Arabidopsis thaliana: one gene and its partners. The protein of the gene in region 2 interacts with the protein of the main gene of each other region in a pairwise test. Each region holds a gene or a part of one and is shown on either strand. Other genes may lie near its edges.

Region 1 (4,420 bases), on a different chromosome or scaffold from region 2:
GCATAAGTTTACAATAGCCATAGTAATTCGGTAAGTACATGCTTTTGGGTCCTTATCATCTCTATTGGTGTGGTCATATCTGAATAAGCAGAGCTACTACGGATCACGAATCTCTTCTTCTCGTATGTTTTATGTTTAAGTGAGGTTCGATCTAGAATCTCATCAATTAATATCAATAAAAGTACACCCATGATCAATGAGAACTCATGTAACAATAATCTCTGTTCGTAGGTTCTTGGGGATAAATTAGTCATCGGAATAGCATACCAGAGATCGACGATCTCATTAATCATTATGTATAAGTACAAACTTCGTAAAACTATCCAATGCTACAAATAACAATACAAGATAGTACAGTGGTACCACCTAATTATTGATATAATTCTATGACTTCTGAACTTGAATATGTATGTATGTATGGTTAGTCATATATTTATAAATCTAGGAATTTTATTTTCTTAAGGTTAATCTTCTTTAACAAAGTTTAAATCTAAAATTTAACATTGCATCGCAGTATATATACTAGCTGTAATATAATCTTGTTCAACATTAACATAACCAATATATTGAATTAAAAAGCCAAGACTTATTTATGCCTAGTAGAAGTAAAAAGTCATTTTTTTGTTCGGGTAAAGTGATGAACCAACTCAGAAGGCTTTCAAAAGCAATTTCCTAATGGAATATCTAGCAAATTAGCAAGTGTTACACCACTTTTCTATTTCTTCTTGTTTAAAACTGTAACCACTATCTTGCGTCATCTTGACACTACTACTTCTCACTGTTTTGATTTAACTATTTACAATAAGGATAAATATAAATAGATATAGAAGTAATGTTTAAGTTTTACCATTTCATCATCACATCCAATATAAACTCATCATTAAGCAATCATTTACATTTACTTCATCTTGCCTCTGATTTTTCCTTTTTGTTTCAAATTTCATGTGTCTGATGTCTTCTTACTCTGTCTCCGACTAACCAAACAACATACTTTTGTGATTACATAAACACATATCAACAGAAGAAGAAAACCAAACACAAAAACCCTAAACAAGATAGGCTCTTCAACAGGAGACATAACGGCCAAGTACACACAATCTCTTATAAGAACAAGCAATGTCAGTCCTTGCACAACATTTTTAACCACCAAAACTCTTTTATTTATTCCTTCTTCTTTGCATAACTTGCATATAATCCTCAAAAACAAAACACCAACCACCAAGAACGTTGTACTAGACCATCCTCGGTAAGAGACAATCTTCCCTCCCACTATTAATGGCTCTTTCCTGCATATACAAGACTTGCAGACTCCAGAGAAAGTAGATGTGACCAGAGCATCGAATCCTGTATAATAGGGGAGAATCACAGCGTCTAAGTAAAGACTAGCGTGGAGAATACCAGAGATAGTAGAGGCTTCGAAGAAGACAAAACTCGCTTCTTTTTCGATATTGTTCTCAAATAAAAGCACTGAGAGCTGAACAAGCTGTAGTATCGCAGGTCCAAAGATGGAAATTGGGAAAAGGGTATTGATCCTTTGACCTTTTGCAAGAATCAAGATGATCAAAGGAAGAGAGATTGGACCAGAAGGAAGTAAGTACCTTCTTGCTTTGTCATCATCACCATCATCATCATTTTCTCTTCTTCTTCTTGATATTACCTTCCTTACGACAACAATTAGCGTCGTCAAATAAGTAACCGTAACGAAGAAGAAAACTAGAACGTCGGTGATTTGAGGGTAGTCGCCGGCATAGATGCTGTCGCAGAAATAGTGGAAAGGACAGTTAATAGGATCAAGTGTGTCCTCGAATTGCCACTTTGTGCATTTGAAAAATGTTTTCTTTCTATCAGAATCCATTTCCCATTCTGAATTCATAATTTGTTTGTTTTTTTTGTTTTGATCTATATGTTTTTGGTTTCCTTAGAAGCTACACATATAGTTTATAAGGAGTGTGTGTGACGTGACATCATCATATGGTTGATTCTCTTTCATTGTCTGGTTATAGATGCTTGAACTAAAATGGATAATGAAACTCTATCTGAAATCTGAATTCTATCTTCATTTTTTGTTTATTAATACAAAAAATCACCCTTTGAATGAAACTATGTATTGAGAGAAGCCTTGATCTTCAAGGGAAATAAAAGTTTGGTGTGCAGCTGATGATTGATTGGTTCTGTGTAATTGTTAAATTGCATGATTACGTAACTGAGAATTCGGTTTAACCGTTTAAATTCCGGTCTACTGAAATTGCTACGGAAATAAACCGAATTAAACCGAACCGGATCATGATTCAGTCTACTTTAGTTTTTGTGCTCCGTAGATTGAGAGAAGCCAATTTTAGGGAAAAGAGAGAGATGAGGAAGTTGAATCCGCTTCTGAAACGAGGCTTGAAGGCTATTGAAAATGGTGATTTGTTGAAGATCCTCCAAAGTGAAATTCGTCACGAAATCTCCCATCCTCGTTTCCAGGTAAATTGTTGTCTTCCTCTTTCCTTCTTCTTCTTCGTTGCTCTCAGTAATCTCTCAATTGAGTTTTAAGATCAATGGTGCTCAACATTAGTTCGATCAGACTCTGTCAGTTTCAATTTCATTTTTCTGAATTGATGAACATTAGAGTGATTTACCAGATGGGCGAATTTGAATTTGATGTTGGATCTCATAAACCCTAGGATTTTAAGTACTTACATTCTACCTTTATGATTTTGCTTTGTGCTTGAACCCCACAGGGCGTTGAGACCGGTTCTCTAGGAGATTTCAAATTGGATTGGGATTCACCGGAAAGCCAAGATATTGTTCTGAAGAGACAGTTTGATTCAGGCGAGAAGGTTGTGGTCTCTGCTTTATTGCAACCAGAACCTATAGAACTAGAAGATGATTTAGTGTTTCCTAGGGAAGCTCATGCCAAAGTTTGTATCAAAAAGCCTGGTCTCAGCTCTATCTTGCAGTTTCATTGCCGGGTTTACGAATCAGGATCTGGATCTTCTCATTTCGACATCGAGAGCGCCTACTTTATCCGCTCTTTTGTTTCTGCTCCTTCTTCCACTTATGGAGACCATTTTTTCAGGTGAAGTAAGCTCATAAATGATAATCTCTCAACATTTTGTTTAAGTTACTTGAATCATATCTGTTTTACTTCATCCAAACCTCAAAGCATTGGGTACACTTCCCATTGTTCTTTCCCTGGAGTAATTGTTCTATATATATTGAAAAAGAAGTAGACTATTAGAGGTTCATGTGTCTGCATATGTTTGATTTCAATGACCAGTGTTATTTTCTTTGTTTCTTTAGCCAAGTAGATCCCAAACTACACAGTGCACTGGAGCAATACCTAATATCTAAGGGGGTCAGTGAAGGCTTAACTAATTTCCTTTTGTGTCACCTGAACAAGAAGGAGCAGGATCAATACGTTAACTGGTTACGCAGGCTTGAATCAACTATGTCACATTCTCCAAAGCCGTGAGTGTTTACTCCATAAGCTCATTTCTTTTCAAGTTTTGTTTTTGGAACAATGGTAAAATGCCTTAGGAGTAGTATTATTAGCTAAGAGAGTCCTTGCAATGGATGTTTTGAGGGAAGATGTATCGACGAATACATGTTAACTGTAATATTTCCAACAAATGGGACCCCAAATCGTATGCTTTTGAATTTTCAAGCAAGCTTGGTTTGATCTTTGATCTTTCAAGATGATTAGTCATGAGATAGTGAGTAGTAATCGACATCTACATAACCACCCTCATTCATGTATTTATCTTTGTAAATCAATACTTGACCTATAATGTCTTTTGATCTTTCTCCGAAAGGACTAAAAAGTGAGAAAATGCAATAAAAAAAAATTTACGAACAAAAAAAAGGCAAATGAGAGAGAACAAAAATTCGGAGCACGCAGCGTCAAGCAAGCATCACTTAACACTAAAAAGAACTTATGTTAGTAAAATTATTCTGGAAAAGATAAATCAGTTATTGTGTGAATACTATAGTGTTAACGTGACATAACATCATAGGAAAACGATAAAAAAAGCATAGATCTTGAGGTATCTTTTTTTTTTTTTTTCTCTCTGAACTGATATCTTTTCATTGATAACATTTTAAGTTCTTACAAAAAGTTGATCAGTGGACTTTCCACTTAAACATAAAAGGCAACAAGCCTATTCCAAACTGAAACATAAACTAAGACAATGCTGAATTTAAAGATAAGTAGGAGTATGTCCTAACCAAAAACCATACTCATCTATTATATCTTGAAGCTGCTTTTCTTGTTGACCTGCAGTCTTCAATCCAAAAGGAGTATCTTGAAGCTGCTTCCTTGTTAACCTGCAGACTTCAATCCAAAAAAAACAGAAGTTGGTAGAGTGTTTAGCGTTTCTTCGGAGGTTTCAGTATCCCTCCTGATCTTTGCACATAGTTCTGTTGATTGAGATTCCCA
Region 2 (5,251 bases):
ATATCTGAAGGCAGAGGTAGAAAATCCTAAGACTCTTCCTGGAATGGAGTGGGATGTCTTGTCTTGGTGGAGACTCAATAGTCAGAAGTATCCAGTTTTATCAGAAATTGCAAGAGATGTACTTGCAATGCAAGTGTCATATGTCGCATCTGAAAGTGCTTTTAGCACCAGTGGTCGTCTTTTGGAGCCAAGTAGAAGCTGCCTTACTCATTATATGGTAGAGACTTTGGTTTGCCTTGAGCAGTGGTTGAAAAGTGAAATCAAGCTGAGTGAAAACACTTTTCTAACAAATACACAACTTCTTGCTGATATAGAATTACTTGATAAGCTTGAGAAAGGTAACTTTATCTATGTAGTTTACTAGTTTTAGTTTTAGATGTTGTTTGAAAACTCTCTTATGTTCTAACACAACTTGGGTGTTGATTGAATCTTTTTCAGAGTTTCAAACTGAAGTGAATTTGGACTAAAAGACTAATCAAGGAAACGACTACAAGGTAACTTCATCACTCCATTTTGTTTTCTTTTACTTCTGAACTTGGTTTATAGCTCAATGTTAATATACTAGACTTATGAATCAACGATCATTTCGTATTTGACTTTTACTTGGTTTATGGTTTAATGTTTATTATGGTTTTTTATTTTTCAACTGAGCTTATTTGGTTTTGATGTAACAGGAACAAGTCATGGGGAATCTATCATGTTTGGATGTTGCTTTGGATTTGAACTTCTTTCTTTACTTTGAATGCTTTGGATTCGATTCTAAACGATGTTTTTATGTCTTGCTTTGGATTTGAACTTCTTTCTTCTATTTGAATGGTTTTATTTGGATGTTTTGAATCTTGCTTTTTGGGTTGAACGTATGAAACTTTTATTATGTCATGCTTTATTGATTTTACTTTAAGTTTTTTTTATTACAAATTTACAGGTTTTATGGTATATGTGGTTAGTATCAAGTATGTTCGGGTATATTATAGTAGTTATAAACTAGTATCGAATAATATTCGGTTACTTTTTGGATTTTTCAATGGAAGTACCAATACCTACCCAAACCCAAAATTTACCGGATCGAACCCGAACCGAAGTTTTCAAATACCCGAACGGGGTCTAAAATTATAGTTCCGAAAAATCCGAACCCGAAAAAATCGATCCGAACCCGAACCGAATACCCAAACGCCCAGGACTAGGAGAAAAATACTCCTATCAACCAAATGAGTGTATATCAGACGATGTGTACGGACTAGCTTGATAATTAGTACAAGCGTCAAACAACAATTTTTTGAAATAAATTTAGAATTTTGTGCAATAAAAGCAAATTTCTTTGACCCAGCCGGTTATGCTCTAGTAAAATTAGTTAATGATCGCTAGAAGGACAAAGTCAATCTTGATTTTGATAATATCCTAATCTAACCAGAGTAATTACAAATTAACTGTATATGGCATAACCGATATTTTGGTAGTAATTGATTTGGCTCCTTATTACCATAAAGAAATAGAATTTTATTATAAAGAGATCAATTTTCTGATAGGTTAACTATACTAAGCTGATTAATATCAGTGTTGCGTGATTATATGGTATATTACGATTTGTATATCTTATTAAATGTGGATTATTTCTTAAAGCTTTTACTATGACACTAGGAATATATAACATTAATTTTCGTTTGATGTCGAAAATAATGGTTAGGTGAGATATAACAATCATAAACTAAATTAAAATAATATTTAACTTATCACGAATATTGTTCACATTGCTAACATACTAGCATGTATCCACATAGTATTGTTCACATTATAAGTAGAAAATTCTTATTAAAAAATAAAAAAATCACTACATTTTTTAATGCAATTTTATTGTTTACCTCCTAAAAAACAGATCAATTTCATAAAATAAAAAATAACTCGTAATAAAATTCCTCAAAAATAACCGATTTTGTATTATTTACTTTTTTGTCAATCGATATAAATTAGAACTAAAAAAAGTTAATCCCGAAAGATATTATTTATATATATGACATGATACGATCGATTTTATATCTATTTTTATCATTATTACCCCCGTTATTTCACATTTCTTATAACCTTTTGTTATTGTATAATTTTTCTTTTTATTATCAATCGGAACAAAGAAATACAGAAGTTAAAAGCAAAAGTAGTAAATATTATTAAACAATTATTGCGTGTAAAAATAGTGTATATGTGATCGTGTACAAAAGTACATGCATAACATGATCAATATAGAATGCAATACAACTATACAAATGTCAACAATCTACAAACACGTTTTAACTTTGAAAAGCAATCTAAAATTCATGAATCTAAATATACTCTCTGGCAGCTTTCTTATTACCATATCTTAAAGATTGAACCAAATAAATAAATTTACATCATTAACCAAATTAAACCATCCACATTTAATTTAATTACAACAAGTAAGTAAAAGATCGTCTCTTTCTTCTTTCCCGGAAAATCCTCTCATTTTTGACTTGCTCAATTTTGCTTCCTTAAGACCCAAAAATCCAAACCTAACCCTAATCGACATTTTCTCCGATTTCTAAATCCTCCTCCGGTGAAAATGTCTCACCTTGATGATCTTCCTTCTACTCCCGGAAAGTACAAAACCGATAAAGTTCCACCGTACGGGATTCTCCACCACCACCGTTACCTCCGTCTCTCAAAACTCACCCTTTGGGCTTCTCTCTTCCTCGCTCTCTTCCTCTTCTACCTCGTTTTATCTCCTCCTCCGTCACCATCTCGCCGGAATCTCAACGATTCTTCCTCCATTTCCGCCGCGAAATACGGCGGCTCTCACTGGGAGAAACAAGTCCGTAAATCCGCTCGTCCTAGGTCTCACGGCGGTTTAACGGTATTAGTCACCGGAGCTTCCGGATTCGTCGGTACTCACGTCTCGATCGCGTTACGAAGACGCGGCGATGGTGTTCTAGGTCTCGACAATTTCAATCGATACTACGATCCAAAGCTTAAACGAGCAAGACAAGGCCTTTTAGAAAGATCAGGTGTTTTCGTAGTCGAAGGCGATATAAACGACGCCGTTTTACTCAGAAAGCTCTTTGATGTTGTCCTCTTCACACATGTTATGCATCTCGCTGCTCAAGCTGGTGTGCGTTACGCAATGCAAAACCCTGGCTCATATGTTAACAGTAACATTGCTGGGTTTGTGAATCTATTAGAAGTATCGAAATCAGCGAATCCGCAACCTGCTATAGTCTGGGCTTCCTCTAGCTCTGTTTATGGTCTGAATTCGAAAGTACCCTTTTCGGAGAAAGACCGTACCGATCAACCAGCGAGTTTGTACGCAGCTACGAAGAAAGCAGGTGAAGGAATTGCGCATACTTACAATCACATCTACGGATTATCGTTAACGGGTTTGCGGTTTTTCACTGTCTATGGACCTTGGGGTAGACCAGATATGGCGTATTTCTTCTTTACTAAAGATATTCTTAAAGGGAAGACGATTACTGTGTTTGAATCTCCTGATAAAGGTAGTGTTGCTAGGGACTTCACTTACATTGATGATATTGTAAAAGGTTGTTTAGGTGCGTTAGATACTGCTGAGAAGAGTACTGGTAGTGGTGGTAAGAAGAAAGGTCCTGCTATGTTTAGGATTTATAATTTGGGGAATACTTCTCCTGTTCCTGTTACTAAGCTTGTGACTATATTAGAGAAGCTTTTGAAGATGAAAGCTAAGAAAAAGATCATGCCTCTACCGAGGAATGGGGATGTTGAGTTTACTCATGCCAATATCACGTTAGCGCAAGCAGAGCTCGGTTATAAACCTGCGGTTGATCTTGAGACGGGTTTGAAAAAGTTTGTGAAATGGTATATGGGTTTTTACACTGGCTCGAAGAAGAAGAGTTCTTGGTGAGCTCTGTCTCTCTGCTTAAGTCATGGTCTCTGTTTCCCCTTGTTGAGCTTGGAGTTCGCTCTAGGTTAAGCTTTTGAAACCGAGCACTTGCATTGCCAGGAAAAATCACTTACGTATCTGCATTGTTTCTGTGTTGCTAGATTTTGCTTCATTTATTTGTTAGTAGATTTTGAGCAATGTACAGCTTCATCACTTAGATGTTTCAATTGTCGAAACTCAATTGTCTTTTCCATCATGTCGGAGGAATAAAGTAGCTTGGATTTTGATGCATATACTCTGTAGTAATTCAATCTATTGTCACTTGTTTCTTGTGAATTCAAACATATATTTATTCTTATTCTGACCAATTTTTACATAGCTCTAATCACTTGACTAACGATGATGGTTTGGAAGAACAAATCAAATCACTGCATAATCTTATAACAAGAAACAATGAATGTTCTCTAGCCTGAAGTTTATGTAATATGCCAATAGATTCACAAGATTGTTCTCTAGCCTATACCATGTTATCTTCCTCTGCGCAATCAACCACGACATATGCGATGATGTTATCGACAAGTTCTTGAAGATCCAACACCATCTTCAGTATCGATCTTCCACCAGTCAACACCATCACCAATCTCCACAGGTTCCACCTCTGTTCCATTCTCAATCTCATCATCATAATCAAACTCGTAATCCCAAACACCGCAAGAACCACCTCTCTCTTTCTCCAAAGCAGGATCATAAGTCCACTCCAACTTCTTCAACACATCTCTATCCTTCCACTTCCCCACAACTTTCTCAACTTCCTTCTTCGCCTTCCCCATCGTCACTTCCTTCCACGAATACGCAACATCCGCTACTCGCTTCAGCGCACCTTCGTTCGAATCTCCAATCACAACCGTCCTCAAACACCTCTCCTTAGCTTCCCACAAAATCCCCGCAAAATCAGAATCATCAGACACTAAAACAACACACTCCACTTCTCTCTTATCCATCACTTCAACCAAATGTTCCTTCAACGCCTTATCAGCAGCATCTGGCTTATCACTAACCATCTTCACCCAAAAACCAGCTCGTTTCAGCTCATCAGCTAAACCGTAACCTTCCTTCGGAGTCAAAACATTCCTCGCCGCTCTTTTATACTTCTCAATCTTCATCGAATACTTAGCCACAAGTCTCACTCTTCGATGTCCTTTCGAAGATTCAATCTGTCTCATACGTTTCTGATTCTCTGTCTCATGAATCTGCTTGAAATGATTAATTAGCTTCTCGTTAGTGTAGAATCTCCGGTCACAAACACCGCAGAAGTAAGGCTCCGGTGGTTTAACTAAACCTTTGTTCTCTAATTTGTTTAGCAATTTCCTATCTTTCCTCTGTTCTCGA
Region 3 (5,251 bases), on a different chromosome or scaffold from region 2:
AAGGGTTTCCGAAAAAATAAAAGGTACTATTAAATTTATTTTATTCGTTTTGGACAAACTAACTCGTTGATTTTTCATATTTAATTCGATGACTTTTTAAGGAAATCGAAAATTACTGATTTTTTTGTGGCCATTACGAAGTTTTATTATAAGAGTGATTATATTATTATTGATATTATTTTAATAATATCATTTGTGATATGGTAAGTCAAAAATTGAATTTTTGTAGAAAATGAATTGGAATTATGTTTTGGGTCACATAAATATATGTAAAATTGAATTTGAATGAATAAAAAAAAAAAAAAAAAAAAACTAAATATAGCAAAATGGAATAATCAATATGTAAATGGGGAAAAAATCAACAATTGTATAGAAAATTTTGCCATTGGTGGTGGTGCTTCTCATTAGGTTCTTGCTTTTTGTGCTATCTTTTTAGGTGTTTCTCATACTAGAACATGCTTGATTAAGATAAAATCTTCACATTTCTGTTACTAATAGTGTTTCTCTTGTCGAACATTTACGACTTTTGGCTTGAGAAGGTCTTGTTTATATGTGGTTTAGCCTTTGTTTCTGTTTCTACAACTTGATAAATTGCGTTTTGAGTGTTGCCCAAAAATGGATGTGTATTGAGCTGCTTAATTAAGATCTTCTTCACATTTCTTGGTGGTAGTAGTGTTTTCAAGTGTTTCTTTGGTTAAACATTTGTGGCTTAGTTTCTATCTCGCTTAAGAAGATGGGAGAAGGAGATTAAATATCTGACATGACTTTATTCTTCTTTGAGTATTCAGGTGTCTAGGCAAAACTTTTAGTCCTATTAGTAGCAATTTGTTCTTTTTTTTCTTTTCCTATTTTTCTCTTCTATAAGTTCTTACCATATGAGTATACATTGTCTGCAGAGTTAGGTGCTAATATGAATGGATACCTTCTCATAAATGCTAATGGAGGACTAAACCAAATGAGATTGGGGGGTCAGGCTTTTGTGTTTTCTCAATGTTTCTCAAGTTATCTTCTGTTTATAACTTGATGACAGGCTAGTTCCTAACTTTATCAAGGACTTTGATTAATCTCACATCCCTAGTACTGAAAGTAACTTGTTAAGCACACACTGTATATTTCACTTACTTAAAGAAGATTTGGTAGTTAAACCGATTGCATCTTTGTTTTTGGACGAAGGGGGAAGAGAGTGATCAGAAATACATGACGATAGATGCTAACCGGAGTAACTCATCCAAAGCAGTCGACGAAAACTTGCGAGCAAAGAGAAAGCAAAGTCTCATCTTATTTTCTCCATTTTTCTTACAATCACCAACACTCTTCATCCTTAGCCACTCCAAGAACTCCACATTAACCTCCCACTCACCAAACAATCTCGGGTGAGCCCTACGCTTGCTCCAGTCAGTCCAAGTAAGCGTCCTATTCGCGTTACGCAACCCAAGGCTCGGCCTCATGTTGAGTAGCGTCGGGATATAGTGCTCGTCGGGGCAGCGAGAGTAAGCTTTAAAGATTGGCCAGTAGAACGTATCAGAGACTACCTCGAGGGCCATGGCTCGGTCTAGCTCGAACCACTGAGAGCCTTTTCGCCATTGGTGCATGCGGATGTGAGGATACATGCGGCGGTCATAGCGGACGCGACCGATTGTGAGGTCGTAGGAGTCGACGTGGGTTAGAGTGGAGTCGATGAGGAAAGAGTAAACTGTGGAGAAGTTGAAGAGAGGGATGCATGATTCGGAGAGAAGAATGAAACGTTCGTTGTTGATGTCTAATAAAGCGTTTGCTAATAACCTTCGTTCTGCTTCTACCATGTTTGCGTTTCCCCAATCCACTCTCTGCATACGTTTATAGTTAATGACATTGGATTGATTTTATTTTATGTATTATAGTGTAATAATTAATATGTTTTCTTTTAAGATACCAAATATTCTTATATTTTTATGTAATTTACTAAAAAAGATAGGAAAAATATCGTATTCATGTACTTCGATCCGTTATATATATATATATATATATATATATATTATTTATAATATATTTATAAATTTTATTTATCACGTTAATTCCAAACCTATTAATGTATCGAAATAAATTTCTTAATAATTTGGGAAGCTGACCTTGCTTGGAATACGGCGGCCATAAAACACAGAGTCTTGCGGCATGAACTCGTCGTAAGACGAATTGGTGTGAACGTAGATAGTGAAAAGACCTTCATGACCTCGAAAGAACCTTTCCCATAGAGGAGCCAAAGGTAAAGGTCCCCAAGTCAAGAACATGAAAGCAACCTTCGGGATTCTAGGATAAGGGTAATCCCTGATCTTAGGATCCATTGAAGCTCTCCACAGAAGTTCATTATCTTCCATATCGTGCATGATGTTCTTCAGTGGTATCAGAAACATGTCAAGCCCATTGTCCTGAAATGAAGGAGAAAGAATAGGAGGAGGAGGGGTTACAAAGAAGAGTTGGGAGACACTTTGGATGGTTAACGAAGAAGGCGAAGATAATCCTTGTAGAGAGGGATAAACAATGATTCCAACTATCACGCCGATCCAGAGGATGAAGAAATACAAAAGGAGATTGTGGAAATGGTGGAGTAGTTTCTTGAGAAGCTCTATCACTTGAGATAATGGTGAGTTTTGGTCCTTTTGGGTCGGCATTTCCAACTACCGATACATGTGTAAGAGAATTCTTGTTTCCAATGTTTTAAGGGTTAAAAAGAGATACATGGATCTTACTTCCTAGTTGGAATGAGGTTAAAAAGTGGAGAAGAGCAAGTAAAAGTGGAGATCTTGTGGCGTGAGTGATTAACTCGTAAAAACAAAAATACACACGCAATGGAATATAACATTTTGAGGCAGTTTTTTGATGATCCAAGCAAAGTCAATTGGGTTATATACGTAGCATCTTATTACTACTCTTTCACTAGCATTAATTCTTTAAACTAAAATTACAAATTTCCTTACATCAATATTAATTTACTTTTTTAAAAAGATTGATAGGAGTAGACTAACCAATCTTTGTCTTTGAATGAACTATTTCGCTATATGTCCATGCAATATATATTTTTTTAAGTTCGTTTTCCCAAAATCATATTTCTTTGTTATAAGTGGATATAATATTGATGGTGGTTTAAATGTTTTACTTGTAGTTTCGCTATATACTTTTTTTTATCTCTTGGTCGCATGTTTAAGTTTATTGCTTTTACTTATTAATATACCTTATACCTATATGATTTATCATTCTTTCGTTTTTGCTCATAAGTTTATTGCATACCTTGTCAATAATATACATTATTTTCTGGTAATCGTTCACAAGACATCCTTGAAACCTCCACGTTTACATTGCTTAACGCTTGCAACAATTTCATTGTATATATAAAAAAAAAGATCGTAATGAAAACAATATGAAGCTTATATATATATATATATATAGCACTACAAGTTAAACCTAATTTGTTTTTTTTTATAACTACCGGAGTGACTTTATCTACAAGAATGAAAATGACGCAGCCATAAAAGCAGGATCGTGTAGATTGCTATTAAAAACCTAAGTGAACAAAGATGTGAATTTCATTTACTCGATGTTTATAGTATGCAATAGACATGGTACCAACTCTTACAGATAATATATTCAACCGCGTAGACATTAAATCAAGAGGTAAACTGGAGAAACAATTACATACGTGGGAAATAATTTTTTTTATCGAACGGCGACCTACATGCTTTGTCTAATAGTCTTTACCAGTTGAGCTATTGAAATTGGTTTCGTATGTTTTCTCTTAGACGAAATATCTCTTTTTGTATTTTTTTATTTATTTATCAAATGAAAGTGACAAACATTATTTGCTTAAAGCTTTTGTTAGAAAATTAATCTCATGTAACTCAGATATAGGATTTTTTCATGGTTTATCTTTTACTTCTTACAAAACTGTAGATCCATGGATGCAAAAAAAAAAAAATGATCCATGAGACTATGTGAGTGAAAAGGATTTAACCTATGTAATTAAATTGAAGATTTTATATATTATGTATTTTCTACTTAAGTAATAGATTTTCGAGGGACAGTTATATCAGGCCATTCATACAAAGCCATTAGAGTATTCAAACATTAACTATATACACAGAATATAATTATAGTTGATATGAAACTAAGTTGAAGTCAACCTTGCGAATTCTAAACTGAAAGAATATTACTTTTTTGTTTGGTTCAAATAAAAGAAAATTACTTGTTGCACTATATAAATATTGATAAATAAATTGATTGGTCAAATTTACGTGTAGTTGCACATTGTTGAAAGCTGTAGGGTGAAGAGACAATAATTGTGCAAACAAGTGGCATCAACCCTGGGAATGTCATGACGTAGTGTAGGAAAAATGCATTCCATTCCATTTGGGTTACAGAACCGTCATGTTAGACGAGACTCATGCATGGTAATGATGGCTGAGTTAAAAACAACAACAAATATGTGATCATTTGGGTTCACTAGTGATACGAGAATATGCGTTTTCCATCACGGCTGCTTCCGAGAACTTTACAACAACATATATGTGATCATTTTGCTAGCTATGATACAAATTCTAGAGTGTAAAAAATAAACAAACAATAGTATCATGTATAGCTAACAAAATGATCCACAAGGTGAAAGTAGGCTAGTAACAGTGGTATTTTCTAAAATTTGAAATTTTATTGTTATTCCGAGAACTTCACAACATAACGTATGAGCCCATGGCTGGCCAAATGAAGTAATGGTTTGGAACCCATTTTATGATTTTTTTTTTTTTGTAAATATATAAATAGCTATGGTATATTTAAACAAATATGGTTAGAAGAAAAGTAACAACTACGTTTTTAATGTCGATTTTATAATATATATATATATATATATGTATAGTTATTATTTTCTTAAAACAGATATAAATTAAATTTAAATAATTATATCTATATTAAAGGGCTCTTATTTTTTTTTTGAGAATATTACACTGTAAAACACTTTTTAAAAAACATTTCCGTGGTTAGACACTTTCTAAAAAGAAGGCACTTTGAATGTATAATTTGACCAATTTACCCTCTAACCATATATCGCTTTATCTCTCTCATCCACCTATTCTTTCAAAAAATAAACAAAACTCAAGCCAAAAAAATATATTTATACCTTTTTCTTTCTTTCCTTTTCAACAAATCATCAGCTTTTATGAGAAAGAGAGATTGAGATTCACCTTCTTTAATTTTTCGCGTGTGCTTTGATCTGACTTGAAGGAAA
Region 4 (6,201 bases), on a different chromosome or scaffold from region 2:
TTGTATCCTCTTCCTTGTGTTTTCTTTATCTTCTATCAATTCTTCACTATAATGAATCTAGAAAGTTGCCAGAGACTTCACTTTTATGTAGAACCTGTAGAATCAAATCACATGTTGTTTTTTGTTTTGGTAATATTGATAAGGTTTGGTTTCCATGTTATCCTTTACTTAAAAGCTTAGAAATGGCGTCATGAGTTCAAGGTAGATGAGCTTTCTGAAGATTCTATTAAAGCAGCTACTGACACTGGAAAAGCCTATGTACATGGTTTTCTAGATGTTAAAGGTCGGCCAGTGGTTATTGTAGCTCCTGCAAAGCACATCCCCGGGGCAAGTTAGACACCAGTTTTCTTGTTAAATTTCAGCAATGCAGATTTACTATAGCTGAGGATTTGTGAAATGTCTGACGTTTTGCAGCTGCTTGATCCAATAGAAGATGAAAAGCTTTGTGTGTTCTTACTTGAAAAGGCTTTAAGTAAGTTACCAGCAGGACAACACAAGATACTTGGGATATTTGATCTCCGTGGATTCGGATCTCAGAACGCAGATCTTAAGTTCTTGACTTTCCTGGTATTTCTTTCTCCTTACAGGTGAATGGTTTTTGTATCTTCTTACAGGTGAATGGTCTTTGATCTTATTGTTGTCTTTTCCATTGTTTTGTTTCTGCAGTTTGACGTATTTTACTATTACTATCCAAGCCGATTGGATGAAGTCCTTTTTGTAGATGCTCCATTCATATTTCAGCCAATTTGGCAATTCACTAAACCGTTGGTGAAGCAATACGCTTCTCTGGTAACTTCCATACCATATTGCTATGTTTTTATGCATCGATTCTAATTGCTATATACTACATAGTGTGGTTATTCAGAGGACTGGACTAGATGGATTTTTATACTTTGCTTTATGTGAAGGTCAAGTTTTGCTCAGCAGAGACCGTCAGAAAGGAGTACTTTACTGAAGAAACATTACCATCAAATTTCCGGAGCTAAAGAGGTTTATAAGAGACCTTTAAGCACTTATTTCTTCTGTTGTTGTCGATTTATATGTGTATAGATAATTTTTAAGTATGGAGAAAAGGGATAACCCTTAATATTAAAAGAACTCATTGTAAAACCTCAAAAAAGGTATCAGTATACATAGAGATAAGAACAAACAACATGAAAAGCCTTCCTAAAATTAAGAAAAAAAAAAAAAAAGGTAAACAAAGCACAGAGAGAAATCATAGAGAAGCCCTGAGAAGTCAGAATTTGAGGGTTCCATGTTGAAGATCTTCAAATCAGGTTAGCCCTCTTCAGGAATCTGATAGTTCTGCAGTAATAAGGCCATACAGATTCAACAAAATCCAGGTATTTCTCAATGATCCATTCTTGGAACTGTTTCAGCTTCGTGCGTGTGAGCTCTTTGTAGTCTGTGTTCTTGATGGCCACCACTGGTTTAAACACTAGAGCTTTAACGTCGTCTTTGAGCTTTCCATCGGCAATGTATTGGTATGCTACAAGATAATACGATGGTAGGTTTCTTATCATTTTGATGGTTTGGTTGAAGCAGAAGGCGTAAAGGGAACATAGTCCTTGGAACATTTTTATATAAAGGGCGATGATCAAGGGGCCAACCACCCACATAGGGGATAATTCCTTTGTAACTTCAGCACCACAGATCGCGTAAACAGCTAGGAAAGCTGGAACACTACAAAAAAGGTCAAGGTGAAAGTATAGTCAATACACATACAAGGAACTTGGAAAAGAAAAAAGTGGCTGTGACACTCTTAAATCTTCCTAAGGACAGTTTTTGAATATAAGTTCACATCTAGTCGATTTTCCTCTATTGATAACTAACTCTAGACTACCTCATCAAGCAAAAGAAAAAGATGCTTTGATGCTGATACTTACAATAACAGCAACGGAATCTTGATAGCTGCGTCTAGACTCCAAAACCAGGACCAAACTGTATTTTTGGTACTCTGGAGACTTTCTGCTTTCCGAATTTCTGTTTCAGTTTCTTGCTTCGTCGTTTGTGGAACCTGTTCTCCTCCTAAAGTCTCGTCAATCACTTGAATAGGTGACTGTGTGCGCAACAATGTCAACCATTTCTTGAATAGTTTCTGAATAGCGGGTTGCCCTGTCATGGAATCCTCTGTTTCCGAGGTATATGAAAACGAAGTGTTCTGTGCCTTTGGGGAGCCATTCACATTATTTTCGTCATCATCTGAACGGTAAGATAGTTTGACAGAGTTATTAGTAACTTTCTTCCCACCCTCACTTCCTCCTGATTCATTATTTTGGATGCCACCTTTAAAAGATGTAACTCTGAAAGGTTTTGCTCTCAATCCACCGTTGCAAGGGGACCCTAAACTGCAAAAGAGTTTCACAACATATTATGATTCCGAGAATCAATTGCAAAGGGAATATATGAACTATAACTTTTTAGTATAGTTTCCTATATGTTCATACGTCTCAGTATCTAACAAGGAATCTCTTAGCTAACAGATAGGTCTCAGCGTATTAAGAGGCACATTTTAATCCACAATATAACTACGTATCTACCTTCCTAGAGTACAGTCGTACAGAGAGAGTAATGAGTCTCAAACTAAGTAGTACATAACCTAAGCAGGGATTTGTAAAGTGGGATACTCACCTAAAACAACATTTTTGCTTCAATCGTAAATGCTTATCTTTCCTCTCAACAAAGTGCACTGTCGTAACAGGTCTCTTTAAACACAAGCCTCTGGTCCATGTTGGCGAACTCCAAGGAGACAAGACATGTGAACCCTACATGAGAGAACAAGGGGGAGGTAAACATCTATATTTCTAGTGTGGCAAGTAAAAGAAGGCTTTACAAGAGTGAAACGGAAGGTACAACCATTTGCAGACATGACCATTACAGAGACACAAAACAAAGTAGAATTTAGGACTTTACAGATCTATGTCTAAGATACCTGCAATTTATGGGTTACCAACACCATTGTCTCTAGCTGAGCAGTGAATCATTTACTCAAAAGCCACAATCTGAGGCCGAAGAAAGGATTGAATAAGATGATTGTAACCTCCAAAGATGATGAAATCACAAGTAGCGACCATAAAACATTAAAAGGAAATTTCATATATAGATCACAACAAAAATTACTTGACAGGAGCGAAGCTGAGCAAAATCCGAAGTAAGAGAACCTCATTAGCGAGCTTAAATATCATAAATATTCAATTTTTCAATCCTCTCAGCTGCAAAACACTCTTATCCAACACCCAATTCCCCAAATCAGATTAAATTACACTAAACTATAAAATCTAAAGCGCAACCATAAGAAACCTGGAAAATGATAGGTTTTGTTCCCTTAACAAAAGTACCCCAAATCCATAAAATAGATTGCAAATTAGAAAACAGCTGCGAAGAAACTGAGAGGGAAAGAGCAGAAGAACGGACCTCAATCATGAGCTCGTTGCCTTGGGGTTTGTTCGTCCGTGAGAATACGAAAGAAAAGAACAGAATTTATCGAATAAGAGAAAGGGAAAGAACCCTAGTGAAAATCTTGAAGCTTTGAATAAAAAAAAGCAATAAGAAAGATTGGAATTTTAGAGGGAAGAAGAAATGGGGACGCGGATAGATAGAGAGGAGAGGAGATTGGAAGAGATAGGAGAGCAGATTGCAGGCAAGCGGTTAATCAAAGGTTTTTTAATACCAACACCTCTAAACGTCGTCGTTTCGGAGAAATTACTATTAAGTTTTTTTTTTTATTAAATCACAATTGATTTTCTATTTTAAATAGTCAAATAACGAGTTGAAGAACATAGTCTTAACAAAAAAAAAAATCATTTGAATAGAACTTTCACAACTTTTTTATCAACTTTTTTCAAGATAAAAAAGCTCTTTACATTTAGATTTACATGATGTTTTGTTTCTTCAAATCATACAATCAACACGAAAATAACATTTCTTATAATCATTTTTTTGAAAACCACGACGTGAAACATGTAATTACGTTCTCAAAACTTGAAGTCCTCTCTTTTATATCGAATATCTTTGAAGGAACCAAAACTTGAATCTCTAGTTTCACAATGAATTAACTAACAACTTGATTTCATTGGACTTAAAAGGGGTTGTGGTCGGATGTTTATCAACTTAGTCAAGCGATATATGGATCTTTATACCCTGAATTTTGATCCTAGGCTTCGGCCTAATGCTTAATCGGTTAATCCAATAGTAGACTTGCGAGAAATCATGCTAAATGGGCCCTTGAGAAAGAAAAAGAAGAAAAATCAAACCAAACCGAAATCTAAAATACAATTAGACTTGTAAACCAAATTGAACCGGGAAGATCATGTGGGAGTCTCGAGGCTGCCTGTTTCAGACAAGTTGCTGAATTGTTTAATTCACCGGGTAGCTGCCCGCTGACCAAACAGATTTCCTTCTTTTCTTAGAAAATTGCCTTTTTATATTATTTCCAATTTCTGCCTATTTCCATCGACCGACTAATAAACACCATTGACCTAATTTCCAAGCCTCTCTCTATATAAACCAAACCTCTTTTGCATATACCTTCATTATCTTTAGAAGCCTCCTTTGTCTGTCTCCTCCTTATTCGATATTTCTCTTCCATGTTTTTCGTTCTTTTTCTTTTTAAGTGGTAGAAGATATTCTCTAACTCCATAAACTTATGTGTTAGCTTGTTTACACGTTGGTGATAGTTGATTGGTCAGTTAGAGAATAGATCTGGATCTTGTTCTAAAAATGTTACAATCTTTCTAATATTTAGATTTGCAGCTGTTTATTTTTGGTGTTTTATTGAGGTTTCATTCCAATAGTCGTTACAGTTTTATTGTATTTCTTAGTCAAGATAGGAAGCTTTTTATATGAGATGGTATATTCGATATGAGAAATTTACACAGTAGTGTATACACTTACGTATGATGGTGCAAAAATCTTCCATCCGCATGTCATGTCGTTTTGGTAGGCAGAGCGGCCATCTTTTGCACATATTAATCTTTGAGTGCCTTTATCATGTTTGACCCTTCGGTATGTAAAAGATCGCTATTTCAATATCTCTTCAGTAATATTGAAATCGATTTTTTACCTTGGCATACAATTTTGAATTTTCTACTTAACAAATTGTTTTGAATTTTTTTTAATTGTTTTAGACTTTTAGGCATGTTTATTGTTGTACTTTGGTTTACCAATTGATTTCAAATAAAGGGTTGTATAAAGTTTTTTTTATTAATATCGATATCTTTTTGTGTTAAATATAATTACATTCCTGGTGCCTTGTGGAGAAGTTTTATGATATTTGATTGATATAGACAATATTTGGGGACTTGATTATTCCAAGACGTTGACAGTTTGAGGTAGTTAAAATGTTGGGACTTAGATGAAGTTTATGCAGCCACGTAAAAAGACATGAATTTGAACAGAACATTATGGACCTTTTTTTAGACAAGGAGACATTCGACCAAAAGTGATATGTACATACTATTTTTAGGAAGAAAATCCAATTACCACAAATAGATTAGCTTTTGACAACTTTTCAGTTACCCAATAATTCCAATTTCCAAATGTGTTGGGTAAATTGAGGCGTCACAAAGTACCTCAAATTTTGTAACTGGAATCAGATCTCCACTTGAATCTTTTAAGTTTCAGAATAACTGGATCCCTAAGTAAAATCTTTAAAAAGGTAAAGGATTTTACAGTTAAGAACTCGAGACAGATCTGTGTTATTCTCTTCTCTGTAATAATAATAAGAAAGATGTTTTCATACATCAAGACTGGTTTTGGGAAGGTGATGATAACCACATGAGGAAGCTAGATATAGACCAGATTGAAATCACACCCAAAACCTGTATCACATTCAAAAGTGTGCCCAGTGATTTCTTGATTGCCAGATTATTAACTGTTGCCTCTGCTCCTTTAACCGTAAATGACAATGCTGTTACTAGTTGCGCCGCTCGGTTCAGCTGATGAAGTCTGTATACCTACAAAACCCAAAAAGGTTCCTTCAAAAGTGTGTTAAAGTGAAATATCTTTTGAGAGGTGTTGATTGAAGAAGAGTGATCACATACCTGAAAGATGATGGGGATGATAGGAGATGATGGAGAGTTACGATATCTTGCGTACTGTTCGAATGCAAACTGAACAACGATACCAACGAGGTATGGTGCAAGAGTAGCTGATGCTGCAGGTCCAGTCCATGGCCAGACGAATCCCATTGTCACCATTGGA

What was found.
Region 1: the proteins of GAE5 (region 2) and AT2G41610 interact in a protein complementation assay, tested with the Arabidopsis thaliana proteins (one large-scale study listed by BioGRID).
Region 3: the proteins of GAE5 (region 2) and AT1G68380 interact in a protein complementation assay, tested with the Arabidopsis thaliana proteins (one large-scale study listed by BioGRID).
Region 4: the proteins of GAE5 (region 2) and EMB2759 interact in a protein complementation assay, tested with the Arabidopsis thaliana proteins (one large-scale study listed by BioGRID).

What each region holds. Positions count from the first base shown.
Region 1 is NC_003071.7:17,344,634-17,349,053, reverse strand, and holds AT2G41610 (uncharacterized protein), read right to left. Parts: upstream 1,898-4,420; 5' UTR 1,874-1,897; coding exon 941-1,873; 3' UTR 815-940; downstream 1-814. Other genes in the region: AT2G41600 (Mitochondrial glycoprotein family protein), read left to right, coding at 2,284-2,466, 2,724-3,061, 3,286-3,457; AT2G41590 (Ta11-like non-LTR retrotransposon), read right to left, coding at 4,351-4,420.
Region 2 is NC_003075.7:7,288,170-7,293,420, reverse strand, and holds GAE5 (UDP-D-glucuronate 4-epimerase 5), read left to right. Parts: upstream 1-2,300; 5' UTR 2,301-2,572; coding exon 2,573-3,883; 3' UTR 3,884-4,229; downstream 4,230-5,251. Other genes in the region: AT4G12240 (zinc finger (C2H2 type) family protein), read right to left, coding at 4,432-5,251. UniProt on the Arabidopsis thaliana protein: Involved in the synthesis of the negatively charged monosaccharide that forms the backbone of pectic cell wall components.
Region 3 is NC_003070.9:25,634,746-25,639,996, forward strand, and holds AT1G68380 (Core-2/I-branching beta-1,6-N-acetylglucosaminyltransferase family protein), read right to left. Parts: upstream 2,718-5,251; 5' UTR 2,649-2,717; coding exon 2,109-2,648; intron 1,827-2,108; coding exon 1,188-1,826; 3' UTR 1,093-1,187; downstream 1-1,092.
Region 4 is NC_003076.8:25,289,867-25,296,067, reverse strand, and holds EMB2759 (embryo defective 2759), read right to left. Parts: upstream 3,665-6,201; 5' UTR 3,424-3,664; coding exon of another isoform or gene 3,415-3,423; intron 3,003-3,414; 5' UTR 2,960-3,002; coding exon 2,933-2,959; intron 2,766-2,932; coding exon 2,632-2,765; intron 2,618-2,631; exon of another isoform or gene 2,374-2,617; intron 2,349-2,373; coding exon 1,887-2,348; intron 1,684-1,886; coding exon 1,269-1,683; 3' UTR 1,073-1,268; downstream 1-1,072. Other genes in the region: AT5G63060 (Sec14p-like phosphatidylinositol transfer family protein), read left to right, coding at 1-2, 181-327, 415-567, 667-789, 909-986; AT5G63040 (uncharacterized protein), read right to left, coding at 5,742-5,954, 6,042-6,201.